2 linked regions of the Drosophila melanogaster genome follow. The protein of the gene in region 1 interacts with the protein of each later gene in a pairwise test. Each region holds a gene or a part of one and is shown in the gene's direction. Other genes may lie near its edges. The genes, in order: CG8272 and SkpB.

Region 1 (16,169 bases):
TCTGAAGACACAATAAGAATATACGTTTAGTGAACTTGGCTGCGATCCGGCGACGGGGCTCTAACGCAGAACCAACTGTAGCTCGGATGCGGATTGCAGTAGGACCTTCAGTCCCTGCATAAAGCCCGCGCACTGCGCAAAGTCCGTTCCGAAGGCGATTTGCGTGTGGATTTCCATAGCATTGGCATAGTCGGATATTTGAATGTACTGAACTATTTGATTCAGATATTGCACCGTGGTGGGAGTGAGCTGGAATTAAAGTAAATGCCATTTGAGAATTGCAATTGAATCGCGATCTAAGGCAGCAGCTCTCACCTTTCCATCTCTCAGGCAGTCGTAGAGATTTTCGAGCCTCTTGACAACATCGACAAACTTTCGTTTTGTGCGCTTAAAATGTAAGAAAATTTATAAACAAAAGTAAGTTATTCCTTTTGTCTATATGGATCATTTATTAATAGACTTACCGGATCATTGGTTGCGCCCAGGCAGCGGTTCTTCAGCTCCTCCAGCACAGTCTGCAAGTAGATGTACTCCTCGGGGAGTGGTGGCTTCTCCTTGGGCGGCGCCGGTTGGCGCTGTTGCTGGATGGGCGCTGGCTGCTCGGTATAGCCAATGGTTTGCTGTTGTCCCTGCCAGTTTGGCTGCTGAATCCCAGGGGCTGGCTGCTGAGGCTGGAGATATGATTGCTGATGCTGCTGCTGCTGCTGGGGATTGTTGTTGAAGGCAGCCGGGTTGTAGTACGTATTGGGCACTCCTCCAAGTGGTGCTGCGTGCTGGAGAAAATAAATACATTTTTGATCTACTTCCTGACCAATAATCCGCTTTTAAATCCCACCTGATATTGAGAGGGGTCCACATAACCGTTCTGGTTCTGATTCGGGTCGACTGGGAACAGGGGATGGAAGATAGCAGCACTTGGCTCAACCACCGGCTTCGGCTTAGGCTGTTAGAGAAAGAAGCAAACAATTAGGATAAAGCCTATGACATTTCGTATACCAAGTACTTACCGCTCGCGAAGATTTCAGTGCAGGAGGATCGTTCCAGCCAGGTGGTGGTGTGGGATTGCGTTGCACATTCTGGATGACTGGTGGCACAGCCGGCGGTGGCATTGTCTCGATGGGATTCACACCGGGCACGAACTGATTCTGCTGAGCTGGCATGAGTGGCGAAGGGTTGTAAGGTTGGGCAGCCGCAATAGGATTCGTGTTGAACGCGTTGCTGTTGTACGTTGGCACGCTAGCTGGCTGGGGTGCGGGCCCAGGCACTCCTCCGCCGCCAAATGGAACCGCTGATGGAACGGGGGCCGGCACTGGATTGTATGGCATTCCGTAGGAACTGGTTGGAGCTGCTACAGATGGGTCCAAAACGTATTTGGAGCGGCCAGAAAGACCCGATCCGCCGGAGGATGATGCGCCGCCTGCTGGCGGCGGACCACCTGAAGAGCTGGCATTGCTGAGTGGGCGCGGTGGTTGGGCCAGGGGCTCTGGTTTCACAGGCTGCGGATTGAATATCTGCGGCGGAGCCTGAGGCTGCTGGGCTCCTGGGTAGCTTGTTTGTAGTGGAGGCACTTGCGCTGGCCAGCTGGGCTGTGCATACTGATTGGGCGGCTGGCCGTAGGGCATGGGAGCCGAAGGCTGTGGCTGCGAGAACGATCCACGACCACGAGTCGGTTGGTAGCCGTGTGGCGCAGCAGCGACTGCTGCCTGTGGCTGGGTGTAGTCCAGGTTGACAGCGTTATTTATCCGGTCTCGTAGGCTCTGCAGAACATCGCTTTCGCTGGCGGCAGCTCCTCCGCCCAAGGTGGTAATGTACTGCAGGGCTGCAGTCAGAGCACCCTGGGACGCAAGAAGACCGCCGTACTCAGTCAGAAAGCCGGCAAAGCGACCAGCCAAGTCCACGGATATGCCTTGCTGCTCCAACGACTTGCACATCAGCATCACCATCTCAGCCAAGTCCTGCAGCTCTGTGGTGTTGGGCTTGTAGCCGGGGTTCTGCTGCTCCAGCCGCTTTAACTGGTACCACGCGGTGACCAGTTTGTCGATGCTGCCGGCGCAAATGTAGCAGAGCATGGCGTTGCGCGTAAACTCGGCGCTTGAGGCGCACTCACTTAAGAGGCGATCGCCTAGTCGCTCGCAGATGTCCACCACCTTGCGCTCGCTGTGCTTGAGCGCGGCCACCAGGGCCTCCTTCCACGAGTCCACAGTGCATCTGTTGACGAAGTCCAACCAGTCGCGCGATACCAAAGCGGAGATAACGTGCGATAGCTCGTTCTTCTGCTGCAGCAGGTAGCGCGTTTGCGTGCGGTTCAGAGTCTCAATGCCAGCCGTTGAGGCGATAATCAGGGCTTCAGGAATGCGCTGTGCTTCCAGACAGAGCTCCACGGCAGCGTCCACATTGCCAGTGAGTATTGCCTCGGCAATCAGGCTATCCGAGTCTGTAAAGTGTAGAAAACCGATCATTTAACAAGTGCTTACTAGCTGGCAAAGTTAGAACTATTTTGCGCAAAAGAAAAGCTTTTAGGTTATTAATGTTTAGATAAAAAGTTACCAAACTAAGTGAGCACTATACAACATGTATTACTTACGGTCTCCGCTGGGAACCTTGAATTGCGGCCTCGGAGGAGTGGCAAAGTCGTTGTGATTTTGTGAGTCGATTGCATTGCCATCAAACTTGTTATCTTGCGTCTGCTGGGTAAGAAATAACATTTGTATAAGAATACACCTCAAATGGTTCCCAGAAAAAGCTGCTTTGAGTTTGTTGGCCTCGATTAAGAGCCTGGCATGTAAGCTCTTACCGAATTATCGGTGCTATAGTTAGTACTCTGATCACACTCGACCTCAGAAGAGTCGCTCTACGGCAATGGCATAGCATGAGTTATGTTATCGGATAGAAATATACAGAGCAAGATGAGCATACGTGGAAGATCGAAAGTGTGCGCAATGCTGCTTGTTTTTCTTTTTCGACTGATAAGACAATGTCTAATGAGCACTTACATGGGTCAGTGTCGAGATGCGGGTCGTCAGAGTATCCACATCCGAATGCGAGTTGCCATCCGTTTCCTTGATAAACTTGTTGAACTTGCTATCGATGTCGTCTTTGTTGTAGCCTTAAAAGTAAGACAAAATCTTAGCTTAAGTAGCCGCGTACGCAAAGAGAGATCCTACCCAAAAGGTTCAGCATTTCCTCCTTGGGATTAAGCTCGAAGTTCGCCTTAATAAAGTACCAGATGTAGCGGCCATGCTGATCCGGTGTCTCGTCTGCTCGCTGCCGACAGTAATCCGAATAATTGGCATCGACCAGAGAGCGTTCCAGGGCATTAGCCCGGTCCACAAGGGCGGATTCGGTGGTTAGCTGTTGGACCTTGACCGTTTTCGAGGTTCCATTGAAACTGACCAACTTGCCACCGAACTAAAAACGAAGAAATTGATTTTTAAATAGGTTTATAAACTTGTTTACGCCAGCTAACTAACTCCAAAGGCAACGCCACAGGGCCGCTTCATCCATTTGGGAGCGTGCGCCAGGTCATGGTAAACCACTTGCGTGGCCTGCTGCGGAATTGGCTCCTGGGCAAACTGATCCATGCCCGGAAACGAGTCGGCAATCTTGTTGGCGGTTTGCACAAGGTGGTGAGTGCCTCCATGTAGAGAGTAAATGGAAACTGCTCCCTCCAAGCTGGCGCTAGCTATCAGAGCTGGATTACGTGGGCAAAACTGCACATCGGAGTACCACGAGGCAGTGGTGGCAACCTCAGATAGGATTTCTCCCTCTGGAATCTTGGTATTGGGGTTCCAGCAATAGATGCGGTTGTCTTTGCCACACGAAACCATTAGATCGTTGTCCTGCAGGCACCACGACATTCCCAGCACTCCGCGCTCATGAATCTGGTATGTTTTGGCTGGAGCCGTGGCATATCGCAGATCCCACAGCTGCACCACTGGCGCCTGGTCGTCCTCGGAAGCCAGCCACACCTGCGTCGCCGCCTCCGGATGCCACTCAATAGCGTGCCACCTCACTCGCGACTGCGAGTCGGAGAGCTTGATGATCTGCTGACTCTTACGCAGATCCCAAATCACGCAGCGTGTGCTGAACACGGAGGCTAGAATGTGCTGCACCTGCCTGTTCCATGCTACGTTCTTTACGTCCTCCAGTGGTTGTGTCTTGGTGCCGGGACTCATGCTTGTTTCCGGGTTGTTGAGGTCCCAGATTAGGATTTCCGATTCGGAGGCGCATGAGGCCAGCAGGTTGTTCTGGAAGGGATTGAAGTCCAACCCGCTAACGGCGCCTGTGTGCTTGTCCTGGCGCTTCAGAAGCGGCTCCTCCTTGCCTGCAAGCAGCTTGTCGGCTGAGTATATGTTGATCTGCCCCGCCTCGCAGCCGCCCACAATCAGGCCACTGGGGTGTGGTCCCACTGGGGACCAGATGAGTTTTTGGAACCTGCGGGAGGAAAAGCCGGTTATGTGAACGACTTGATGCACAAATTGAAAGCCATAACTCACTTGTACTGGCTGGAAACGCTGGCCCTCAGCTCCAGATCGTATGTGGCATCGCTGAAGTTCGGTGAGTACAACTCCAGAGTGGAATTGGCATTGGAATCGAATTGTTGGGCGGCGGTGCCGGCGGCCAAGAGAATCTGCTGCTGCTGCGCCGGCGACCAGGCGATGTTCACCGTCTTTTGCAGTTCCTTGATCTTCATCTTGCAATGTCCCTTCGTGCTGCTCGTGTAAATAAAGCGAAAAAACACAAATATTATGGGAGGTACAAGTTCAGAACGAAATTGTGTCACGTCCAATTGGAGTAAGCCCCGTCATCACTTTTCCCATTGGCTTCCCCATTGCAGATGTGGCCCAGTAGTGCCCGCCGGCCTTTAAGTATCTTTAATTATGCTAATTGCGCAACTTACACACAATTGTGAATGCAATTTGTACTCGCTTGCGCTGCAACGAGACTTTTTGATCTTGAATTTAACTGGAATCGTTAATATTTTTAAGAACCGTAGGAACGGCCAGTGTGACCGTGCTCTGAGCCAACGTAATATACCACAGGGCACGCACTGAAATACCAAATGCGTGCGACCAGAATATACTGCGAGTTTAACGGTATGCAATTTAAATATTCCGTTTCAATGTGCAATTTTAAAAATAGTTTTTATCAGTATACATTATTAAAAATGATAGTCGAAATTATTTAAAGATTTATTTTCCATCGCATTTTATATTCGTAAACTAGCTTCAGCACTTTTAATATTAATATTTATTATGAACTCATTTTAAATTCCAGATCACTTTGCATTTATTTTTTGACTGGAACTGGACTCGAATGTAGATCTCTTTATTATAGGTATCTTTCATAAATATAAGCTATGTTTATTTAATACGCATGGTATGCATCCACTCATTTGGCAGACGATATGGCCGCCACACGCTGCTCCACCTTGGCCACCTTGCTGTTGATAGTCTCCAGATTCTGGGCGAAAGTCTCCTGTACGGAATGCAGCAGCTCCTTGTTGTTCACCAAGCTAGTGGTGATGGTTCCCTGCTTCTGCTCAATCTCTGCGATGATCTTGGCGAAATTGTTTGCTGCAGAGCAAGTTGATTAGTTACAGAAACAAGCACAATGCTAAAATGCTAAATAGAATTGCTTACCATATTTATGGAGGGCCTCGAGGGCTTGCATGCGTTCGATGACGTGCGGCAGTATTTCCACCACTGGCTCCGTGCGCTTCGCGATGTCGTATAGTTCCGTAATCTTCTGATCTCGTTTGGCGTCCTGGGCACTGCCGCTGGACTTTTCGGCGATAGCATCCATCTTGCCGGCCAGCGAGGTCAGGCGCTGCTCGATGGTGTCCAGTTTATCAGGCTGTATCAGGGCCGCCTTGGTGCTTAGATGACGCACTGCCTCTAGTACATTGGTGGTGTTGGTGGCGGCGGTAAGGCGGCTCAACTTGTCCGGCTGAGCGCCCAGCACCTTCTCCAGCTGCGAGATTCGCTGCTCTAGACTGGCTACGCGGGCCGTGGCCGCCAGATCGGTGCCAGGCGTGGGTATGGCTGTGAGAACGCCGGACTGCTTGAACTCCTCCACCTGGCTAATGAGTGCTTTCACCTGCTTACTTCCAGGCGTCTGCTCCTTGCCCAGCACTTGCTCCAGCTTCAGCGACTCCAGCACCTTTCGGGCCGTGCTGATAACCGTGGCCACCGCATCGTACGACTGCTTCTCCTCGTCGGCTACCTTGCGGTCCACCTGCAAGGCGGCCACCTCGTTCAGAAGCTCGTTCATCTCGATCTGCAGGCGCTGGCACTTCTGCACCGGCGTCTCCTTCTCGCCCTGGCCAACCAGCTCGTAGTCGCTGGAGCCGCGCGTATCGTAACCCCGGCACATGCGTCGTCCAATGCGATCCGTGAAGTCCACACTCCCCTCGACCGTTGCTCCGCTGAAGCGCTTGTGAGCGACGCTCGGCGAGATGTGCAGTCGCTCGATGGCTTCGTTCTCCGGCTCCTCTTCGTAGTAGTCGGATGTATCGAGCTCCGGGTCATCTGGAGTTTCGTACACGTCCGGCTGGTCATAAGCCTAAAAACATAAAGTACATATATGTATAAATGGGCAAAAACGAAAGCTTAAACGTCACTGCCATGGTGCGGAGTTCCGACTTACTATTCCCGGTAGGTTCTGGAACTTGGGATCGGCCATTATTGTGGGCACGTCGACGGCGGTGTTTGGAATCCTTTGGCAACGAAATAATTATAAACCTTCAAAAATCCTTTTTTACAACAATCAATTCGATCTGATGTCATAAAAAAAGTTACCGTGCGCGGTTACCAAACAAATGCCAAAGTGCAGTTGTCATTGGAGTATTTATAAACAGAGGTATCTAAAAAGTCATTTAAAAAAGACAGTTATTACTTGTAACGGCTAATAAGCTAAGAGTAAATAGTATTGCAAAATATATCATCGATATAAATAAATTGTACTTGCACATTGTACTTTGTTAACTGGATTCATAGATGCAAACATTTATAAAAATAAATTAAAGCTTTTTGTGCTAATTTAAACCTATTTTGATTTTAGGAAAAACGATATACATTTAAAATCATTCATAAGCAATAGGTAAATAATTCCATGATCGACTTCCAATTGGTAAATCAATGAAGGTACACTTTTCTTCTGGTATTTTATAGACCAGTGAGGATAGAAAAAAGGCACGGTCCTACTGTACCTAGCACAGGTACTAAGTTAGTCAACACTGTAGTTTTCGTGTAGTTTGCGGGCGAAGCGAGTGGGCGGTGGGAGCTGCTAGTTGGTTGTACTAATCTTAATATTTTGCATCCGAAAACAATAGAGTAATGTCTGGCTTAGAGTACGGGTTGCATAGATACGATGATCTGCCGCTGGAGGTGAGCATATAATGTGAACGGACTGCCGCGGTCCCGTGACCAATCCATCATTTCGAGCGTATCTATATCTGCATATTCATATACCTGTTAGGGCAGTCAGCTGATTTTGTTTTTTTCTGTTCCGCCCCCAGATTGTTTTGAAGATTTTCAGCTATCTCGGCTACTCGGACTTACAAGCGGCAGGATCCACCTGCCAGCGATGGCATGCGGCGCTGGATCAGGCGGAATTTAACCAGCGCACGCGAGTCTGCTTCTCCAAGGTGGTGCTATCGGATCAATTGAGTCCTGGAGTGGATCTGATGCGCTGCGAGCGGCGTTTCCAGCACTTCCTGTTCGAGGACGTGACACTGGGACAAGTAAAGGAATTGATGCGCTTCATGGGCAGGACCGCTCAGTCCCTGGCTCTGGACAATGTGGATTTGAATGACAAACAGTTCTACGGCATGCTGGGCGTGCTGCCCCATCTCCACTCGCTGTCGCTGAAGCGCTGTCTGCCGCTGTTCATGTCCGGCTCTTTCCTGGACTCTTACAACAACTCCTGTCCTGACCTAAACGACCTGGCAAGCAATCTGGCCGGCATCAAGGAGCTGACGCTGTGCGAGAACCAATACCTCACGGATGCCATTCTTATGCGTCTCACATCGTTCATGCCCAGTCTGGAAGCGATTAACATGTCCGGCTGTCACATAGCCTTTCACAATGCTATTCATCGCAGATTTTACCCTGCCACCAGCTCCTCGGATCACGTTTTGCCCAGCGAGTCTGTGCTCACGTTCAAGTTCATCCTCACCATTCTGAACCTGCAGCGACGTACGTTGCGCGTGTTGAACTTTAGCCACACCCTAATTGGCCAGGCTTTGTTGGCCCTTTGCGACCTCAATCTCCAACTGCAGCGCCTCTATTTGGCCGGATGCAGACAGCTTAACTGCACCACAATCCTGAACTTTCTAGCCACACAGCCCCAGTTGTGTGCCCTCGATTTGTCGGCCACAATGTGTGTTAACGATGAAAATCTGGCCGCCTTGGTACAAACTAATCCGCAGCTGGAGCACTTGAAGGTGAACGGCTGCCTGAGCATTACAAATGCTGGTGCCATCCACTTGGCCAAGCTAAAGTGTCTCAAAAGTCTGGACATCTCAAACTGCGATAACTTGACAAGCAGCGGCATCATAGAAGGCATCGCTAGCGAGGAGAATCCGGTAATACAGGAGCTGAACGTTTCATACCTTCAGATCTGCGAGGAATGCATCAAGGCAATTGCCAGTAACCTACGATGTCTGCGATCACTGCACTTGAATCACTGCGTCAATGGAGCCACCGATGAGGCTATCCAGTCGGTCATCGGCCAGCTGCGATGGCTGCGCGAGCTCTCTTTAGAGCACTGCAGTGGGGTAAGACTGAAAGTCGCGATAAATATAAGTTCTGCCTTGTAATTTGGTTTTATTTAAATATAGTTAACCGATGCAGCCCTCACAGGTATAAACATATCCAAGCTGGAAATGAGTCGTAAGCAGTCGGGTTCGCAGGTGTCGTCGATGGACAACTTCTACCCGCCGTACTCGAACACGCTGGCGGAACGAGACAGCCTGGCGGGTTCCCTGCAGTCCATTAAGATATCGCTCAGGAGCAAGGCCGAGGATGAGATTGTTCGGGATGCCCGGCGAAAGCAAGCCATGCTGGCCGCCTACGAAATGAACCTGATACGAGAGGATGATTTCGAGGGTCACAACATTCAGCAGTTGCGGGGATTGCGATCGCTAAACTTGCGTGGCTGCAATAAGATCAGTGATGTATCCCTGAAATATGGGCTGAAGCACATCGAGCTGAGGCGGCTAATGCTCTCGAATTGCCAGCAGATTTCCCTGCTGGGCATGGAGGCGATGGCCAGCAGTTGCCCATCGATTGAGGAGCTCGACCTATCTGACTGCTACAACATTACGGACAAGACCATCCAGGTGGTAACGTCTAAGTTGCCCCGCCTGAAGGCTCTGCACATCAGCGGTTGCAGCCAGCTGACGGAGCACACGCTGGACGCCATTATCACCAACTGCAGCTGCCTGCAAACGCTGTCAATCTATCGATGTCGGAGTATGTACACAGACTTGGAGGAGCGACTATCCGGCGTGAAGACGTTGCGCAACCTGAACATGGACAATCTGACGAGCATCGACAACGCCGAGTTTTTCCGCCTGAAAAAGCGACTCGATTACTGATACTTTGCCGCCATCTTCATTGTCTTGATGTTGTACTACTTTCAGCTGTACAACTTCCGCTAGTCAATCGCCCCAGCCGTCGGAACAACCCCCCACATATATTTATTTTTATCTATCGGCCCCCAGCAGCTGGGCTATAGTTGTGAAAGCTTTAGTCAAATATACATACATATACATATATATGCAGACATATATGTATTTGCATATATGTGCACTTAAATTTACACTAACCGCGCACGTTAGATTAGCAAAATTACAAGTCTCGATTGTAATGCAATTAAATTTTCGTACGTAACGTTTGTCCGCATTCAACTGTGATTTTTTGTAAGGTACGAATCGTATGATAAGTGTACACGATTGTAAATTATGTGATCGGTTGCCAAAATTAAAGTTGTTTGTTTGATTGTTGAGTATTTAACTTGATTTGATTCGTTAGTAGTTATTAAATAGTTGAAAATTTGTTAATTCAGTTTAGGAGAAAAACCCAAAAATGAAGTTTTTGAAAACACATTGTGGTTATAATTACAACAAGTCACTGTCACTTCTTATAAGCTTTATACGATTAAATCGTTAACTGAACTCAACTGACTTAAGTGGTTAATGTATTTGTAAATAAAGATCAAAAATTAAAATAATTACTGAGTAACTTAATGAGTGTCTAGTAAATCGTACAGTTAGTTAAATTTATATTTGAAGAACAATATGCGAGGTATAAACTAAATACATGTTAATCAAATGACTGTTTTTACATTATGGAAAGGTATTCCGAAAATTTACAAGCTTTTGCTCTATTCTTGTAAATAATTCGACTAACCAGCCTTGATATTTGAGATGACAAGTCTTAATGTTCGAAAGTAATTAAATATTTACCCAAAACAAAATTTGTTCTTCTTGACGATCTAAACGGGAATAAATAAAATATCGAAGACCAAAGGGGTTCGTTCAAAATGAATAGATTTATTTCAAAATGAGTTAAGAACATTTGTTGTTATACGTGCTAGAATCGTCATCAATATTTCAGTTTGGAAACAGGTCGTACTCCTCTACGTACATAAAAACGATTGTGTAGGATATTGCTTAAAATACATTGCTAAAGTTGACTAGGTAAAAATTCCAGATGTTGTCAAACTACCGATACAAAATTGGATCCCGAGAGTCCTTGGACCGTCTAGTGCCAGTGTGATTGTGCCCAGAAATCAGACGCGGCGAATCCGCAGTCATTTAGCCGCCGCCGCCTCCGCCGGAAAGCTCATCCTCGTATTGCTTGCGGAAGCAGTCTCCCACTGGGAAGAAGTCCCAGCTGCGCTGCTGGTACATGTTCCACACGTACGTCTCCTGGCCGGTATACTCCGTGTCCGGCTTGTTAATCAAATGCATCAGGAAGAACATGTAGTTGGCTAAGTTGTGCTCCTTCTGGACGTGCGTGTCGAAGCCGTGCGGTACTATGTCGAAGAAGTCCTTGCCCATCCCGCAGATGAAGCAGTTGGACTCCATGTTGTCCTTCACCGACTCCAGTTGGTCACGCAGCTCGCCGAAGGCGTCGATGATCAGACCCTGGATAATGGCCAGCAGAATAATAATAACGAAGAAGAAGAACGTGATATCGAAGATGATGCGGTAGACCTCGTAGTCGTCTCCATCTGGATCCCCGATCTCGTCGCCTATTCCACCGCCCGCTCTCACACCCTTGTACAGATGGAACACGAAGCAGGTCAACATGTCGTGGCACTTTTTGTCCACCTCCTCGTCCTCCTCCTGGATGTAGAACTTCCTGAAGAAGTTGAACGCGATCACAGTGTAGATGTACACTATGATGGTAAGCAGCATCACGGTGAGCACCAGTTGCTTGCCGTTGTGGGTCACAGACTGCAGGATGGTGCGCAGGGTCTTGAAGCCCACGGCCACATCGAGCAGATGGGCGGCGAAGAAGAAGTTGTTGAAGTTACCCATCACCGAGAAGCTGAAGTACCACAGCGAGTAGAGGAAGGCGTTGTCCGTGAAGGTGACGCCAGCCTTCCACACCTGATAGCGCCAGTCGATGTTCATGATGTACTTGAAGATGCCCGTTTCCTCGCTCTCCTGAGCCGCGAACGTGCTCTTCTCCATGCCCAGCAGATTAGAGATCGAATCAAAGTCGTAGGTCTCGCTGTACTTTTGGCGCACCTTCTTCTTCACGAACTTGTCCCAGTAGTTCACCGGGAAACTTTTCGCCGAAATTACCAGCTTGTCCCAGTGCGACTTGAAGTCGTCATCCTCCGGCTGCTCTGCAATGAACAATCCCTCGAACTCCAGCCGGCGGGCAATCTCTTTTTCCCGCTTGAAGATGGCCAATGGAACCTTGAGGTGGTAGTAGGCAATCAACATGGCCAGGGAGACAAGTGAGTGCAGACATGCCGCAATGCGGAGAACGTGTTCCATGTAGAAGAAGTCTTCGTCCACGTGCACAAGTTCCGGTATCTCGTCCTCCATTTCGCCATCGCCCGATCCTCCGTCCCCTGATCCGCCAAACCCAGAGCCCGTGATGTCCGCACCTCCTCCCGACCCGGAGCCCAGGATGAGCTCCTCTTCGGCAGAGCTGTCTGCTTCTTCGGTAAACGAGGTGACTTTGTAGAAGAGCAGCATGAAGTTAATGCTGAAAGCCAGCACCAAGGCCACATACTTGAGGTTGTAGAAGTTTCTGGCGAGGAAGCTAACGGCGCGATGGGTGTACTGAGAAAAGTCGATCTGGTGAACAGCTGGAGTCTCCTGAGGCGCAGATGACGACTTCTTGGCTTCCGCCTCGATGGAGGCCATAGCGGCCTCCTGAGCCTTTTGCGCCTCCTGCCGCTCCTGTGCCGCCTTCTTTGCAGCCTCTCCACCCAGCAGATCCACAATGGAAATGGGCTCCTGGTGTGGTTCACCTTCGACCAATTCGCCGCTGGCAGCTGCTCCGTCCTCGGGACTGGATTCTCCGCCCTCCTCCATCGAGGAATTGGCTGGAGATTCGTGCACCACCACCTTGTACATGCCGTTCTCCTCCTTGTTGATGTCCAGCCCAAAGGCTTGCACCGTGCCCGGTGGTTCTTCAAGCGGCAGCGGTGGCAGTGCTCTTCCAAACGTTTCCTCCTCCACTACCGGTTCCTCCTCCTGCTCTGGAGCAGGTCCTCGCATCAGGTTCAGTAGGATGCCGAATATGTAACGCACCACGCAGAAGTGTGCATATCCGGTATAGTAAAATATATAGAAGATGATCTTGAAAAAGCCGACTATGAGTTCTGGTATGGATTTGGTCTGCATCACTCCGATCTGATGCTTGATGTTCGCCGGACTAAGCATGTGCACTCCGAACTTGAGTCCTTCTTTGACGGCGGTGATGGTGCGGCGGATGGGATCACGAGCGGCTCGCTCCTCCTCTTCCTCGCTCATATAGGAACTATAGGCAGTGTCCCGCTTCACATTGCCACCGCCATCATCGGTGGCCATAAGTCCCGAGGCGTGGGTCATCTCAAAGATGGCGTCCTCGCAGAAGTTCACAAAGGCCTCCAGTTTCTCCTTGTCGCCACCTTCGGTGACGATGGAATAAAAGAAGGCACGCTTGGACTCGCGAATCTGGGGCTTCTCCCACTGTTCGATGTTCGAGTCCTTGATCTCAAAGTAAACGCGCTCGATGCGCTTGGAGCTGCCGAGAATCTCGATGCGGCCCAGGAAGGGCTCGAAGTAGTTGAGCACCGAGCCGGCGGTCTCCAGGAAGCGCGCCAGGCGCGGTTCGTTTGGCATGTGTTCGCTGAGGTTGGTCAGGAGCACAGCCAGGTTGAAACCGATCTCCTTTGATGGTTCGTGGAAGTGCTCCACGAAGGCCCGGTAATCGATCTTGCCCTCGTGGTTGCGCTCGCAGCAGGCCAAAAGGAAATCCATTTCTTCCCTGTAAAACGGAGCGTTATAGTCTGTGATACCCTGTGATTGGCCATACTTTATCTTCACTTACGGTGTGTAGTTCTTGGATTGCTCCATCTTTTCCCTAAAGTCTTTGGGGGTCACCCAACCCTCGTTCTTCATGTCCACTTCGTGGAAGCTGGGCGATTCGATAAGGTCGGCGAGCTTCAGGAACATGTCGAAGTACTTAAGAATCAGCTCCACATTGCTGGCAGACTCCACCAGCGTGTCCACCATCTGCTTGCCAATAGTGCCTGTTAATTCGGATATTCGAATATTAATCTGCATTAGTCATCCAATGTTGATATGCCAGTTCCCATACCGTTAACAACATTTCCTTCCAGCATGGAAAGCATCATGGTGATCATGTCCTTTTGCAGATTCAGCAGTTCCTTGAGCAGATCAACTTGGCTGGAGTGCTTTGACAGCTTGTCCTGCATGTGGGAAAACAGGAAGAGGAAGCCACCAACTGCATCCCACAACCTCGAGTGTGCCAAGGCCTGCTGATTGAGGGTACACGGACCCTGGATGACTTCAGTGAGGGTGTTAAATACTTGGCTAGCCACTTCGATGGCCTTGAAGAAGTTGGCCTTTCCAGCGGGATCGATGATCTCTTTGCTGGAGTAGTGCCAGTAGAAGTCCATGATGGACTCTTGCAGACGAAGCAAATAATCCACAGTACAGATGACCACGTTCACGGTGGTGGTGTTACCCGCCTGGGTCCTCAAATAGTTTTGCCATTCTGTAAGGGATAGGCTCAGAGGTCACATGTTCTCAACTCTCTCCTTCTATAACTCACCCAAGTTGTGGCCCTCGCAGGTCAGCTGGATGAACCGGAACAGCGCACAGGTGAACTCCGCGTCGTGCATGTTCTTCTCGCCCGCGGCGCCTTCGGAACCTACACCAAGACCTGCACCCGCACTCGGAATATACTCTTTGTTCGTGTGACAAATTTGGGTGGATTGGTACAACGATAGCGGGAATCACGTACACGGGATTGGTGGGTTGGTGGTTGGTGGTTGGTTGGTGGTAATGGCATGCGAGGCATGGTGGTGTTGGGTGGTTGGGAAATCAGTTGGAAGGAAGTAGACACAAATCAATAGAGTAATCGAACTTAGAAGTATTCGAACCAAAGATGACGGGCACGGCAAATCAAAGCTGGAGGAGGTGGGTGCGTGGGATCACGGGGCGGATGGACTTACCCTCTGCTTTGGTGTTTCGCTCAAAGGCGTCCAGGTCCAGTACACTGCAGGAGTTCATCAGTCCGGCGATGGAGGTAAAGAAGCCAACGTCCTTCTTTTCCTTCAAGTGGTTCAGCATGCCCATTTGGATGTCGATGTTGCCGCCGCGCAAAATGGCGATGCCGAGATTGAGTGTCGTCATTACCATCTCCGAAGGTATACCTTTGGAGGCGGAAATGTGCAACAGCACCATTTCGGCAACGCCACGATTGGAGAGACGTGCCTGATGGAAGAGCAGCTTCTGCTTCTCCATCTCTTGTTCCTGTGGAGGTATTAGTGAATGGTTTTTAAGGTTCTAATAATATATATAAGATTGGGTCTTATAGCTGTGTATGGGATATATAAAATTATAAAGCCATTGTTTAGTAATTTCAGCCGAAGGAATAGTTACCATTAACTGCCTCATCCGACACTGAATCAGACATGTCGGGTTTTGGGGTTTAAGCTGTTGTTAGTGGGTCTATGTTAGTTGGCATCGACTTACATGGATGCTGGTGCCTTCGCCCTCTTCGCCACCCTCACCGCCTTCCTCGTCGCCGCCTTCCTCCTCCTCCTTGCCCGTGGACTTGGCCGCGATCTGGGCATAGGACATGTAGAGCAGATCCTCCTGGAGGGCACCGCTGCGTTCCGTCATGGCGCCGCGGCAGAAAGTGGTAACCAGTTGGGTTAGCGGATCCGGCTTGCTGTCCGTCTCCTCGCCCTCCTTCTTGGATTTCTCGGAGTCCTCGAACGTCTGCGTCAGATCTTCGACCATCACCTCTTGGCCCACGTTCTCCTCCTGCAGCCACTGCTCGTAGTACGATCGTGCGAAGATGTTGCAGGCCCGATGTCTGGATAGGAATGCGTTCAAAAGTTAGTGATATGTGCCAAGACAGCTAATAATAGTTAGAAAAAAAAAACAATTTGGCATGCATATGGTTAATCAAATCAAGTTAGAGAGCAACAAAAAGTTGAAATAAGAACTGATGCTGATCCTTGGGGTGGAAAATTAAAGAAACTTAGAAGGCGATGAACCAATCGATGCGACTACGAGAACGAGTACCACCTGCTCATGCGATAAAGATGCTTGGCGCGTAAGCTTGAAATGACTGCCTGGCGACGCGCCACCGAGATCTTTGAACCCCACCGCTTGGATCTGTTCTTGGAGCTGGCTGCCTAAGGGATTCGGAATCGGATTGGCAAGTGGCAAGCAAGCGTGCGGCAAGTCCATAAAAATATACAATAATACAAATGGCGTTTAGAACACGGCGCTCACATTAGTGCATTAGCTATTAGTGGGGATTCAGTATCAAAAAAAAAAAAAAAGATCGGATTAGATTGATGCCATATTGAGGACGATGATAAAATGGGCGTTAGGACAGATAAACTTTATAGAACACTAGTATGGTTAGTTGGTTCCCACAGAGCTAATCAAT
Region 2 (14,457 bases), 3.3 Mb from region 1:
GATCAAGAACTCAAGGGTGCAGCAGAAGTCACTCCTAGTGCTTGCCGTACACATCATCAATGTCCTAGAGAATCTGCACGACAAGGGTTACTGTCATAATGACATCAAGGCACAGAATCTAATGGTGTCCAAGTGCAAGTACCTTAGAAGGCAGGTAGTGCCCAAGGGTAATGGCTACGAGGATCACTACGAGGAGAAGCAGCAGACCACGGACAGTGGCAACAGCTCAGAGCAGGAGACCAACGACGATGACTACTTCCTGAAGAGCGAAAAGTTCGCGCTAAAAAAGATTGTCGATATTAAGCAGGATGAAGACGAAGACGACGAGGACTTCGATGATGGCGCCACGTCAAACAGCAACAATAGCAACAGCCTAGACGTCTTCCACACTCCAGTGAACAAAAAGCGATCCGCACGCAATGCAATCCAGTTCAGCGGCTCCAATCCAGTGCGCGCCTGCCGTCGTGAAAAGCGCAACTCCATGTATGAGGAGATGGTTAAGTCGCACTATTTGCGACCCACCAAGCGGATTAGTTATCGCGAGGAGTTTAACGAAGACGGTTACCCCAAGGAAACAGCGGAAAATAGTGATGAATCGCCTGAATCGTCTGATAACGAGTCGGATGAATTTATTCCCCCCTCGTCACGTCGCTCCGTTATTAAAAGAGGCAGAAGCGCTCAGATAGCCACACCGAAAAAAACGCCGGTTTCGACGCGGGCTAGCCGCCAGGAGAAGGTAAAGAAGGAACCGAACGGTGATCAAAAACTACGCAGCAGGGGCAGCAAGCACTTGGACAACAACCCGACGGAGTACAAGTTCCTGCCCACTGAGGAGGAACATGTGTTTCTTATCGACTTCGGCCTGGCGTCTAAGTTCCAGGATCGCGGAGTTCACCGTCCTTTTATAATGGATCAGCGAAGGGCGCACGACGGCACGCTAGAGTTTACGTCACGTGACGCCCACCTGGGTGCCCATTCGCGACGAAGTGATCTGGAGTGCCTAGGCTACAACCTGTTGTACTGGTCCGAGGGTTATTTGCCGTGGAAGGACGTGGCGCAGCAGCAGCAGCAGGAGAAAGTGCATCGCGCTAAGGAGCTGTTTATGACGGATGTGCCGGAGATGCTGCGACAGTTCTATGGCAAGCAAGTTCCTAAATATCTGGGAGAGTTCCTGCTACAGATCGGTCAGCTGGCATACCAAGAGCGACCCAACTACGAGCGCTACCGCAAAATCTTTAAGCGCGAGTACCAGCGCCTGGGTTACGATCCCTGTCAAATGCGTTTGAGCAGCGAGGAGATCCTCCGCACCTGTGTCTCCACCAAGGACGTGGTGGATGGCAGCAAGTGTGACATCTTCGAGCTGAACAACAAGGCAGCCGTGAATGTGATGCGAAACTCAACGCTAAGCACTCCGTTCCAGGAGCACTCACTTACGAACCGCGTGTCGCCCAAGAATCTGCGTTCCAAGTCGAATAAGAAAACGACGAAAAAGAAGTTTTCGTGGGCGGAGGTGCTATCGCAGGATCCTGATCAAATAGCCCGCGAAAGGGCAGTGAAGGAGTTTGAGCGGGAGGAGACCATCTGCCCGCTGGAATCCCGTCTTCCAAGGCGCTATGAAGGTAAACCCACTTACGCGATACTAGACATGGAGCAGAGGCGTCGCGAAAAGGGTTTGGTTGTCCAGGAGCATATTGAGGAGGAAGAGGAGGACGCAGACGAAGACGATGAAGAGGAGAACCAGGAGGCAATGGACATTGATCAAGAGGAGGATGGAGAGGCGGCAGATAGCGCCGAAGGCGAGGTAACATTCATAAAATAATATGCATATGCATTTATCTAACCAGCTAAAAAAAGATGAGCAACGTGTATTTCGGTTGGACGATTTTTTTGGCGAAGTTTCAATAGAGCTATTATAATAAAGTTTATTTATTTAACACAGGATGAATCGGATAGATCAATGGAGGGCAGTGACTGCTCCGATCATTCCCAGAAACGTGCGCGTGGTCGTCCCAAGGGCACATCTCGGAAGCAAACCACCAGCAGGCAGGCCCAGCCCCACCAAAACCAGCCGCCGGTGAAGGTCCATCGCGGAGTGGGTCGTCCGGGCAAGAACTCGGGCGTCGTCAAACTGGCCGCCGGAGCCGTTAGCAAGAACCGCACTACGCCGCTATCGGCAGTGGCCAGTAACAAACGTGGCTGCGCCACACGCAAGGAGAATTCCACTCTGGCATCGGCCACCGGCGAGGGAGAGCGAAAGCTGAAGTCAGGCCGTACGCGCAGAGCTCTTTATAAGACTGAACCCAAACACGGCGAGCACGATGCGGAGAATAACTCGAGTCTGCTCGTTGTGCAGAACCTGTACGGCGAATACGATGACGAGAACAACTACGGCAAGGGGCGGAGTGTCCACTCGTCCAGACACTGTCGCAAATAATTGCCAGATGACACTTAGAAATAGGGACTAATAGACGGATCATTAGGAAGTCGGACGATAAATGGAAACAGAACAGAACAGAACGGAACGGAAAAGAATAAATCTAAATTCGCTTTCAAGTATTTTTAGTGGTAATTAAGGAACGAACAGGACAGATCCTACTTATAATCATACTTCGGACCTGTCGGCAGGCGAGGCATGGACACGAACTAGTGAGACCGACAACATGTTGTGTAATTTTGGTTTTTAAACATTTTATCGATAAGTTGACATTAGGTTTTTTGATTGGCACTCTCAGCTCCATAGGGAAGATGTTGTTGAATTATCCATTATACCATGTACGAGTAGTCCCCAGATGTAAGAGATGTTTATATGTTTAGCAGGTGCACAGGAGCAGTGCGCCATTGGCCTTGATAGGAAATCCATGATTTTTTATATATTACATTTATTTTCGAGTTTTGTGTTAGTTTCGTTAGGCTATCAACAACCATATTATAGACCACATGTACGACTCGTTTCACCCACATTTCATGCAGCCAGGTACATACTCTCCTCAAAAAGTATTTAATATAACTAGATAATGGTTATTTCATAAAAACAATACAAATCTAAGCTAGGATATGCGTGTATAAACAGCAGCGGAAATAAATAAACTAGAAATGTATTTCCTTAACAATCAACTTGTGCCTGTTTCATTACCAGTCGAAGTCAAGCTCTTACCAGTCCAATATGTTCTATGGTCTCAATGCGACGCATTAGCTGGAAGAAGCGCATCTCGGCACAACCGAACTCCACGACCTTCTTAATCTGATCCTTCCAGCGGGCGTCCTCCAGAATTTGGATTGTGGCGCAATATCGCTGCTCGTACACCGGCGGATCGAATGTAATGCCGGTTTCAGTCATTTTGGTCAAGGACCCGCAAATAAACTTGTGCGAAAACATTGCCCGTATCGTTAGAGTGACCACTGGAATCCGTGACGAAAATCTTACTGTCACTGCACTTGGAAAACTACCCAGAACTTTGTTATCTGTATATCGATAGGTGCTGTTTTCAAAAAAAGGGGCGGTCATTTTTGTGTAACGAATTCATTTGTCCTTTTTTCTGTAGGAACTATCATATCATAAATACCTAACCATAACTATTTTCAAATGGTTTTAAAGCCTTTCTAGAATACGAATCCAATTCGATATTTTCGATAGTTCCTGTTTTGAAAATTGATGCATTGAAATCTTCAAATTAAATGCGGCAACTCAATTTAAGCAATATATGTAAATATCTTGCTATTTGAATTGGCGATCTTTTTTTCAAATGCTAGGTAGTAAATTCAAACCAGTGTAGCTTTTGTGGTAGGGGAATCACGCAATTTCCGGCATCCTTTCCGGACGACCTTCGCTGCAGGTGCTTGCCTCCCATTTGGACTGGAACTTGGTGGTAGACCTCACCAACCACCAACCACTCCGCCCGACCAACGAATTAGCAGACAGGTCTGCTGGTCTACTGGTCGTGGGAGCTTTCCATCCTGTTGTGATGGACATACACATATGTATAATAGGGTAAGCGCTTTAACTTTTTAACCTGCTGCCATAATTTCCAGGCTAATTACCATTGCCCTGCGCTTGAAATGGAAATTTACAAATCAATAAAATTTATTGCCCGGCGCTGGTGGAGGTTCGTCCTTCCCACCATGGCTGCCATAATTATACACGGCCTGTCCTGTCGCCACGGACAGACTTTCGTTATTGTTTGCACTGAAAGACGTTGCCGAGGCTCTCATAAAGCCATCAAATGCGAAAGGACACTGGAAAAAACGCCCAGTGGATATATGGTAAAGGTCAACTTATATTGTATATTTATGATGAGTTAATGAGACCAAAACCCTTTTAGCCTACAAAATATACACATATACATTCGTTTTCTTATTGGTTATTCAAAAAATTAAGTAAGAAAACATATTGAAGAATGTTTTCTGATTATACCGAACAATCAAGTTTGGATCTTTAGCTTTTTATAACCGATGTTATACGAAACGATTACGTATTTGTTTTCCGTGTAAATGGGGGCCGGCAGTCCGCACGGAAACCGAAAATCCAATAACGGTTTTGGGTTCCGAGCCTTGCGTGCTCGACGAAGTCATCGGTTTTCCAGTTTAGTTCGCAATCGCCGCCCGTGCCATCGAGTAGCCCGTCAAACGATGGCCAACTTTAGTCCACGCCAGCTGTAGAATCCCCGGGCCAATGTCTTCATCCTGGTCAATCTCGGTTGCGAGATGCTCTACGTGATCGATCAGCGGCTGAAGGCGCAGCAGATTGCTCAGGACAAATCGGTCCAGGGTAAGAAATCCCGCCAAGAAATTTGAACATGGATATTACATTTGAGATGCTAGAGTCGTCCTTGCAAGCTTTGGTAAAGGTTAAAGTTAGAGCCTTGGAGTCTTCTGCATAGCTATATGCTTCAATTCAAATTCAAATTCAAATTTAAAAGACACTATATATATATCTTCCACCAGTTATCCACGATGTGACTTCTGTGCTGCTCGAACCAAAGTTTATAGACTCGCTCCTAAACGGATCGAAACACAATAGTGCGCAGCTTTTGACCGCCGAGCATTGCAAGTTTATGCTGAACGACATTGCCACCTGCTCCTTGATGCGACTCGACGAGCAGTCGATGTCCAAGCTGTGGAATCTGATGACTATGGTCTACAAGTGGCAGCTTTTCGTTTCCCGCCATCAGCACCATCTGCTGGAGATTACATTTCGGCACTTGGAGGCGATCAACAGGTTGTATCCGGATGCCAAACGGCATATGCTGATTGACTTCACGAAAAACACGCTGCTGGACTTTTGGAATGCCAGCGGTGAGGATGCGCAGCTGTCCATCTACCAGACGAATCGGGCCTGGCTGCAGTGCTTTAACACAAAGATATCGCTTTTGATTCGCATGGGCTTTCAGGCCATGGACGGTAGTTTCATCAGGGACGTGGATCAAGATTACTACGCGGAATACGTTGAGTCAGCCGGCGATAATATCTATGCGAAGAGTGCCGACCAGCGGGAGCGCCAACAACGGGAGCCCAACAGCATGGATCAGCTGGCCGCTCAGCTGAACATAAATCCGGCGCAAAGTGAGGATCTGCAGCCCATCAACGCCCGCCAGTTCCAGCAGCAGTTCGAGCAGGCCTTCGGCAATGTGCTTTTCAATGACACAGCGGCCAGCTCCTCTGGCTGCGAGTTTGTACAGCTGCAGCCCACGACATCGGCATCGTCCTCGGAAAAGGTGGCGACGTCCATGTCCCGGGGAGGATCCTTGCTGAACCAGAACCTGCTGGACCTGTACAGCAAAATGCCTTGAGGCCAAAGTCACTTCGTTTTGAAAATATTTTATTTCTGCTTCAGTTGGTTTTTGTAAAATAATTATAAAAACGACGTAGGTTGCATAATAATCCTTTGTTTGTTTGTTTTCATCGAAGACATTGTTGTGATCAAAAAATAAATAAACTTTAGAATTTTGAACTTTCGAATTGTTGTGAAATGTGTGGTGGGTGTGCTGGGCGTTGTGTGGGTGTGCTGGGCGTTGTGTGGGTGTGCTGGGCGTTGTGTGGGTGTGGTGTGCGGGCTTGGTGCGGGGTAAAACATAATCAAAGGTCGAAAATGTACAATTACAAATATAAAAGTTAAGGGCATGCTCCCTCCCCATCGCGCTGCTGCCTGCGCTACAGACTTATGGCAACAACATGTATGTATAATCAATTACTCTCCTTGATTTGTGTCTCGCTTGTAATACGCTGTCTCCAGTTAAAGTTAGCAAAGGAAAAGTTCGTCCGTGTTGGTTGTGTGGGTTGGTTCAGCGGCAGGATCCGATTACATCTTCGCCTTGAGCGGCACTGCGTCCGCCATGATATGCAGGGCCATCTTTAGGCACTCCTCCGCGGAGCTAATCTGCTCGCACGGATAGTCGTCACCGTATTGCGTGAGGAAGTCGCAGTACTTTCGATAGTTGCTCACCGCGAAATCATAGTTGTAGGAGCTCAGTGCCAATTCCGTGTCATCGGTAACCGATGGCACCGTCGCCTTGTGCGGCATCATTCCGAACATAGGATAGTTCAGCTCGCAGCCCTCGCATTTGCAGTCGAAGCGGTACTGCAGGGACAGCCTTTTCAAACGCTGCTCCTTGCTGCAGATGGCGAAGTGAGCACTAAAAAGTTGGATATCTATTAGTTTTAGTATTTGAAGAGAGCTGCAGTGACTTGGACCCCTATTAGCTTGAACTAAAGTGGTGTGGTCAGAATGCTTTGGTTACTACTTACCCGTAATTGTCGTAGAGCACATTTCCCGCCTTAATAGGCCGCAGGACGAACATGTACGCCTTGGTGCCCTCGTATATCCTTACAGTATTCGGCGCACAAGAGTGATTTATGAGCGAGAGGAAGGCGTACGCCCCAGACGAGTGCGTCTGGTCGTCCTTGGTCTCGTTAACCTGCTCGACCAGGTCGATGCCGTGCATATTCGAGGGAGATGTCTGCAGATGTCGGAACAGGAGGTCCGTGAAGAAGTTCACGCCTTCTTCGCCGCCCAAATATTCCTTGACGGGTGTGTATTCGATTATGAAGTGCTTGAGCACAGCACAGACCACGGAGCGCTGGAAGAGATCGGAGACGGAGCGCAGGTGCTGGTTTGTCACCAGTCCATGGATGGCCCGGTAGTGCTCCTCCGGCGTCAGCTCGTTGTAGTTGAGGTCAAAGGCGCACTTGTCCTGGTTCTGCTCCTGCTCACAGAAGTCAATTAGCTCCTCGATGCTGGGAAAGATATTCAGCGCGACCAGTGTGGTGCGCAGTGCGATACAGTGGATCTTGTTGAACATGCGGTTCAGAAAGTCAATGATGGGGCACTCGTAGCGGTGATAGGTTTGCATGGCAATCGACTTGCACTCCTCGGAGCAGAACATCGTGGAACAGCAGCTGTCGCAGGGTATGAGGGTCAGATAGTTCTCCCGCTTGCAGGTGGCACACCGAATGTATCGCATCGGCGTCAGCAGTGTGGAGCAGAAGGGCTCCTCCACGGACACAAGATCCCCAACGGCCAAATCCCGATTGGTCACCACAAAGCGACCCTCGGCGGCGGTTTCGCGCAACTCCAAACAGTCGGCGATGAAGGGCACCTGGGCATGCGGTTCGAAACTGAGCTTGAACTCATAGGGCACCACATCCGGCGGTTGCTGATCGAGTAGCTGTTGGCAGTCCCTTTCTCGCTTGTCTAGTTTGTGGCTCAGTCTCGCCGGATAGTTGGCCTGCCTTGCCAGCTTGATATTGTCCAGGCATTGCCGATAGCGCTTCCACTCGAATAGTACCGCCGACCGATTAGCATAGCCGATGGACAGGTGCTCCGAATTCGGTTCGGCATAACAGATGCTTTTGTTGTACAGCTCTAGAGCCTGAAACGAGTCGCAGGGATTAGCTTAAGTTTGCCGATTGAGGGGGCAATGATTACCTGGAAGTAATTCCTGTTCTTGAGCGAAAACTGCTCGTTGCCCAGCATACGGAACTCCACGCTCCGCTTGTTGCACTTGTCCTCTCGAAGCGTTACATTCAGGAATATCTTTTCAATGTACTTGAAGTCAATAAGAGCGCGCATCACGAAGTCAACCTTGCGATGGTTCTCCTTCAGCTCGTTGAACTTGCCGGATATGATGCCGATTAGTTTCCAGTCCTGCAGCTTCTTTATCAGATCATCGCTCACGTCGTACACGTCCATCTCTTGTGCGGGGTAGTTTCGGAAGTCCTTAGTGTCCTGGAATTTTCTCCGGATCGGATTAGATCTGATCGGATGGCTTCGGATCCTTTGGTTCGGTCCGCGTGTCGACGCCGCCGCCTGTTTTTTTCAGCCGGAAAAAATGTTCTTTTGGCCCACTGCCGGTGCCGCGATTTCTTTAACTGGCGCAAGTGCTGACCGCTAATTAGCGATTTCACGGGCGATTACTATTCGGAAATATTCTAATTATGCACACGGCGATTTTAATGTTATTTTTTTGACGATTCCGCTGGAAGCAGTGTGGAGTATAGCCTGCGAATATATAACCCAGCACAGAGGGAAATGTACTAAAAAATGCCGCAAGTTGACTGCTTGCACTAGCCGCGACACAAACCCTTGGCCTAGCTTAAAATTGTTTACAAAAATATTTGAAATTTGAAATTCATTAAATAAAAACAGGATAAAAACTAACTATAAAGGCAGAATTTTGTAGGTTTCTGTTTAAATAATACAACGCCCAGCACGCTTGAATTGTGCCAAAATATATATGTTTAAAAAAAATATATATATATACATTATAAAAAAATATAACTGAGCTTTTGTTTACCGCTAGCTGTCACAGTGTCTCCACACCATTAACTGTAATAGGCGCCATCTTTTAAAGCCATTCCGAGTATGTGCACACTGGCGGCCGTTTCACTAACAAATTTCCTCTTCAAATCGTACGACGTTCTAGTTTTCTAAGAATCCGGGGAATTATTGGCAGCCAAGTTCTTTATTTAACAAACGCTCTGTTCTCAGGCGGCCGCCGCACCAGTCCGGTTCAAGTTGAAGGCAAGGGAATATTATTTTTAGCCAGTAGGCCACAGCTAAGTGACATCGTGTTGTGTCTAAAAATTTTGTTTGGCTGCGTCTGCAAATAAATCAAACCGATTTCGTATCAAATCTTGGGATCCAAATCAGCAGGAGGTGTGTACGAATAAAATTGAAAATATAGATATAAGCAAAAATAAAAATTTTTACGCAGAGATGCCCATCATTCGGCTGGAGTCTGCGGACAAGGAGATCTTTGACACGGATCAGGAGATCGCCAAGTGCTCGGAAACGATTCGCATTGCAATAGAGGATTTGGGCGATGAGAGCGACAACAGTGTGCTGCCGTTGCCGAATGTCAACTCGCTGATCCTGAAGAAAGTGCTCCACTGGGCCACCTATCACAAGGACGATCCTGTGGTTACCGAAGAGGTTGAGAACAAGGAGAAGCGCACTGATGACATCTCATCCTGGGACGCTGACTTTCTCAAAGTCGACCAGGGCACGCTGTTCGAACTGATCCTCGCGGCAAACTACCTGAATATCCAGGGTCTGCTCGACGTCACCTGCAAGACGGTGGCCAATATGATCAAGGGCAAGTCGCCGCAGGCTATTCGCGACACCTTCGCCATCCAGAATGACTTTCTGCCACAGGAGGAGGAACAGGTGCGCAAGGAGAACGAGTGGTGTGAGGATAAATGAATACCATCAACTTACCATGACGAAATTAAAGCTTAAATTTTTTGTTTAATCAACATTTCAATTGAGATAGTTAGCTGATCATGTTAAGAGTCAGCAATTGTTCTGTTGGGTTAATTAAATAAAATATTATGCTTTAATGTTGGCAAGTGCTCTTTAACAAAGGAATTAATGACAAACCGTTTAATGTAATTTACAGTGTTCTTCAATTTGGAATTTATATTTGATTTAGTTAATGTAGTTTAAAGGCCGTGGTCCCGATGGCATTCGCCAGATTGGTCACTTCACCCGGAATAGCTAACAGATGTGATGTCGACGGAGCCCAAAGCTAGCAGCAATCGGATGACGAAGAGGGCGATAACCACTTTGAGGACGATTCGCACGCAGGACAGCAACAGTCGGAAGCCGAAAAGTATTGCGTAGCACGTAGCCCCCAGGAACACCACGTATGTGATCAGATCGCCCAGAACAGAGTACATGGACGCGTTCCTGTAGACACATTCAAGGAACTGCGTGCCGCATTGTTCGCCATGTCCCCAGCCGTATTGCTCCCGTCCGTTGCCAATACTGCAGCTTTTCTCCATGTTTAGACTGACGTATATGCTGGATAAGCCGACAAATGGGACATTTCCTTTGTCCAGTGTGCAAAGCAAATCTTCCAGTTGGAAAAAATCAGCTGTCTAGTGTGACCGCATTTCGATCGTAGTGGCAGCACTGCATTTTTTCAAAACATCGAGGTATGAGAAATGGATAGAATTTTTATAAACGTTACTCGTAGAGTAAAAGGTATACTAGATTCGTTGAAAATTATGTATCAGGCAGAAGGAAGCGTTTCCGACCATAAAAAGTATATATATTCTTGATCAGGATCAATAGCCGAGTACGCCTGTCTGTCCGTCCGTATAAATGTCGGGATCTCAGAAACAATAGATCCTAGAGAGTTGAGATTAAGATTGAGATTAAAACGGAGTAAATCGAAACGGAGTAAAGTCCTGACTCAAATATCTCTAACTTCTAGCGGCTCTAAATTGGGTCTTGACTAACTGTCGATAGCCCCAAACAGGTCCGCGACAAAGATGAAGTCTAAAGCCTTTATAAGTAAGAGGTATGTGATAGTCTACGGTTTTTAATGTTCGGCGATTGTGTAGTACATCACAAAAAAATTAATTATAGCTACGAAAACATAAAAAATACATAATTGGTTTTATTAAATATGCAAAACTTTTTGTTTACAACCTATAAGTGTTTAATGCTTGGCATCGGCAGGAAGTCCAAAATATTCTAAAAATAGCTTGTACCTTTCAATTTTTAAATAAGTTCTAAAATAAACCGCACTTTATCAATAAATGCTGTTTCACTTATCACAACCAGAACCAAGAGCGTTTGATTAAATTTATGAAAAGTTTTTAAATTAGCAGCATTAGCAACCGCACAGCTAATTATTGCAATTAATGTCACTAATAAAATACAGCTTAAACAATAATGTATGAAGTATAGGTGTTTTTTCAAATTGTGGTTTGTTCTCTGGATAACGTGCATTTAAATTGGAGTACTAAGACAAACTGCTATGCCGCACTGATGGTTCCATTCTCGAGTTATCAAAGTGGCCAAACCCATTTTTTTTTTCAAACTACAGTGTCTTAAAGCTAACCTGGCCATAATTGTAATGGCGACCTTTAAACTTCAACGCTGTGCATTGAACTGGCTGAAAATTTGTTAAATCCCAGGGATTCCCCAGGGAATGGCTGCCGTGCAAAACGATACCTGAAACTGATGCTTCAAAAATGAAAAAGAATACAATCACGACAGGCGAACGAGCAATTTTATTTTTCTTAGAGCTCATTCGGTTCAACGTACTGCGTCTACTATTCGCCGGCAAAATTAAAATTAAATAGCAGTCAAGTCGCCCACCCAGCTTACAAATGTGAATAAATGGCGCAAAGTAGGGTCTTTTATGTATATTTGTACTTATTACTTACAGACAGTGGGTGTGAAACCATGAGAGCAGCTAGACCTAAAATGCTTTAGATCATAGCGATTTTACCAAAAATTCAGTTTCCCTATTCTTTCTGTCAACCTGTTATTAGCCATGCTCTTTGCCACGCAGCTTTTCCGCCGCAAACTATATGAAAAAGTGGACACTGGACAAAGGACGTAGGCGGAAAGTGCAAACAGATGTCCAACTGGGCTGCAACTGCACTCTGGACTAGAAACGAAACTTCAGGGAACTGAACTCGACTTGATGCAACTGACAGCCTGACTTTGACACAAAGCCCAGGAGGACGGGCTCTAGGGCTATAAATAAGGCACGACCCCACGACCATGTGACCATGTGGTGACAGTGATGCCAACGCACTATATAATTCATTGGGTTGCACAGTTCCAAGTTGAAAAGACAGCTAATAAGTTAATTAACAGCACTGGATGATAGAGGTCACCCTGTAGTAAAGTATGCAAGATAAACCGTTTGTTTTGATCTTGAATTTTGGAAAGATCAAGAAGCTTACACACTGTGCGCAAGCTTAAGATCTTTTAAAAATGTGTTGAAAAGCAGACTGGGCCAATTGGCTTTGCTTAAAATCGCACGTCTTAAGAAGAACTTCATTTATAGTTTCTTTGTTTGGAAAGAACTGTAAATTTTTGTGCCATTTTGGAAACAGTGATAACCACCATCTGTAGAGCATCCAAGTGGCCATCTCCGTTTGCTGGCCCAAGCCAGTTGGTCTGATTCTGTGTGTCCGAGGGTGTTGTAAGTGCAACAACTGTGTCACGCCTTGTTTCTGTGGACGACAAAGTGTAGAATAGTGTGCATGAAATACAAAATATTTCATTCCGACTGTGACGGGAAGGGATGGCCACAATCTGCTAGAGCCAGCTTGTTATTATTTCTGGCTTTTGTTGCTGGCTTCATAAAAGTGTTGTCTTCTGTTGTCCACGTGTGTTTGCCTCTTTGCCTCTTTGTCTGTCTGTCTGTCTGTTTGTTTGTTTGCTTGTTTGTTTCGCCGGCACTTCCTGTTGCTCGTTCGACTTCTGGCTGAGCGTTTCCGGTTCCTTTCATTTGCTATTCCACCCATGAACGAACGCCCGCTTTCGTTTCCACATCATTTTGGCCCGCTCTGGATTTTCCTCGCTCGGCAGCTTGACAAATTCCTAGAAATCCCTTAATATTTAATATTTAAAGCACTTCAAAGCACACGGAGTTCCCGAACAGATTTAATCTGTGGCGTGCAGACAATCCACACACAAGAGTGTGTGTGTGTACATATGCCAGCTTCACCATTGCCATTTTCATCGGGAACACTATATTCCGTTGACACCTTTCGCTGTTTTTCCATTAGATTGGTCTCCCATCTCTTCCAGCAGTGCTCTTGCACTTTGCTACCCATTTTGGCCCACTTCACCTGGGCGAGCGACACGTGTCACCTGTAAAGTGCATCGGATCCGGCAGCCACATCTTTAGCAACTCAGAGCTGACCTTTTCGCGACGGAAGACTCTCGAGTGGCGAGAGTATCCAAGTATCTGAGTATCCGAGTATACGAGTCTGTTGCTCGCCGAGGGCAAAGTCATTTGACATAGTCAACTTGTTTTTAATTAATGAGCACGCCGAAAAAAACGCGCACAAAATTGCTTTGCGTCCCGGGCGTAGAGCTTCAACTTGAGGTGGCGGGAAGCAACAGGTGGCAAGGGTTCTCCCACAGGAAGTGGCCGTAAGGAGCCACTCGAAAATATTCGAGGGCCAAAGCAAAGTTTTCGCCTGGCAGACTGCGGGGAAAAATGGGCTAAGAAATAAAGGAAGGCTGGCGGGCATAGGAAAATAACAAGAAGCCCAAGAACAAACAAAAGAGCCACTGGCCCAAAGGATACGAGTGTATCCTTTTGGGCTCCGACGCGCCTTTGTGTATGCTTAATGGATCCACCCGAATCATTTGACCAGAGATCCAAAAAGGCCTTTATCCGCGCTTAAATGTCAGCGCGTTATGAAATTATGGGCTGAATGAAATTACTCACAAATAAATGAAATTGCGCAGTCAACGGGAATCATTTATGTATATTATTTTTACACTTTCCTTTTTTCCTTATTTCACATTTTTTTTTTCACATTTTAATATTTTCAGTATTTTCATTCAATTTTAAGCTGCCACTTTTTTTCCCCGCCTGAAATATTGAAATATCAAAGGTGAATCGGCAGTGGAGTAGTTTCCTTCAGCTTCGGCTCCAAGTGAGGGATGCCATGTGGCCTCCACTCCGTCGTGTCAATTCAATCAAGCCACCAGCTCACCTGACGCACCTGCCCATCTGACGCACCTGACTTGCCCCCACCTGGCTTTCTCCAACTTAATCTTGATGTTGTTGGGCCCGTTGTTGTTTGGTTATACAAAATGAGAATTTATTGTACGGCACACATAAGCTGACTATAATAAAATTTCAATTTGCCCGACAAACGATGTCGTCGACACTCGTTTTCTCGCATAAAGCCAAAGAAGAAGCACAAAGCAATCGCAGTTCCCCCAGCAAAAAAAAAAAAAGCGTACGCAAATATCGTTTATGTTGCTTATTGCGATGTGAAAGTCGGAGATCCCTTGGACATCCGCTTAACTGTTTAGTTTGAAACTAAAGAAACGTCAAAAGGATGCATTTGAAACCGTAGTAGTTTTTTGGAACGATTATTCCAAGTATACAAAGTTTTTGAAAACTAAATTTAAAATCTTGTATCTTGAAAAATACTTTTGTGCTTTAGCTGGGATTGGTTTTCTTAGAAGAA

Evidence for each region.
Region 2: the proteins of CG8272 (region 1) and SkpB interact in a two-hybrid assay, tested with the Drosophila melanogaster proteins (2 studies listed by BioGRID).

What each region holds. Positions count from the first base shown.
Region 1 is NT_033778.4:8,882,469-8,898,637, reverse strand, and holds CG8272 (uncharacterized protein), read left to right. Parts: upstream 1-7,236; 5' UTR 7,237-7,337; coding exon 7,338-7,388; intron 7,389-7,519; coding exon 7,520-8,779; intron 8,780-8,842; coding exon 8,843-9,601; coding exon of another isoform or gene 9,602-9,664; 3' UTR 9,665-10,234; downstream 10,235-16,169. Other genes in the region: Sec31 (secretory 31), read right to left, coding at 61-249, 316-387, 465-773, 836-943, 1,008-2,434, 2,585-2,687, 2,795-2,851, 2,994-3,106 and 3 more; DCTN2-p50 (dynactin 2, p50 subunit), read right to left, coding at 5,392-5,576, 5,643-6,564, 6,649-6,684; RyR (ryanodine receptor), read right to left, coding at 10,823-13,502, 13,566-13,767, 13,836-14,255, 14,313-14,447, 14,716-15,016, 15,239-15,584, 15,800-15,909.
Region 2 is NT_033778.4:12,134,679-12,149,135, reverse strand, and holds SkpB (SKP1-related B), read left to right. Parts: upstream 1-8,906; 5' UTR 8,907-9,151; intron 9,152-9,209; 5' UTR 9,210-9,211; coding exon 9,212-9,697; 3' UTR 9,698-9,841; downstream 9,842-14,457. Other genes in the region: bsd (back seat driver), read left to right, coding at 1-1,801, 1,940-2,434; Hen1 methyltransferase, read right to left, coding at 3,155-3,376; Smyd4-4 (SET and MYND domain containing, class 4, member 4), read right to left, coding at 6,296-6,629, 6,742-7,865, 7,922-8,185; CG18343 (uncharacterized protein), read right to left, coding at 9,979-10,278.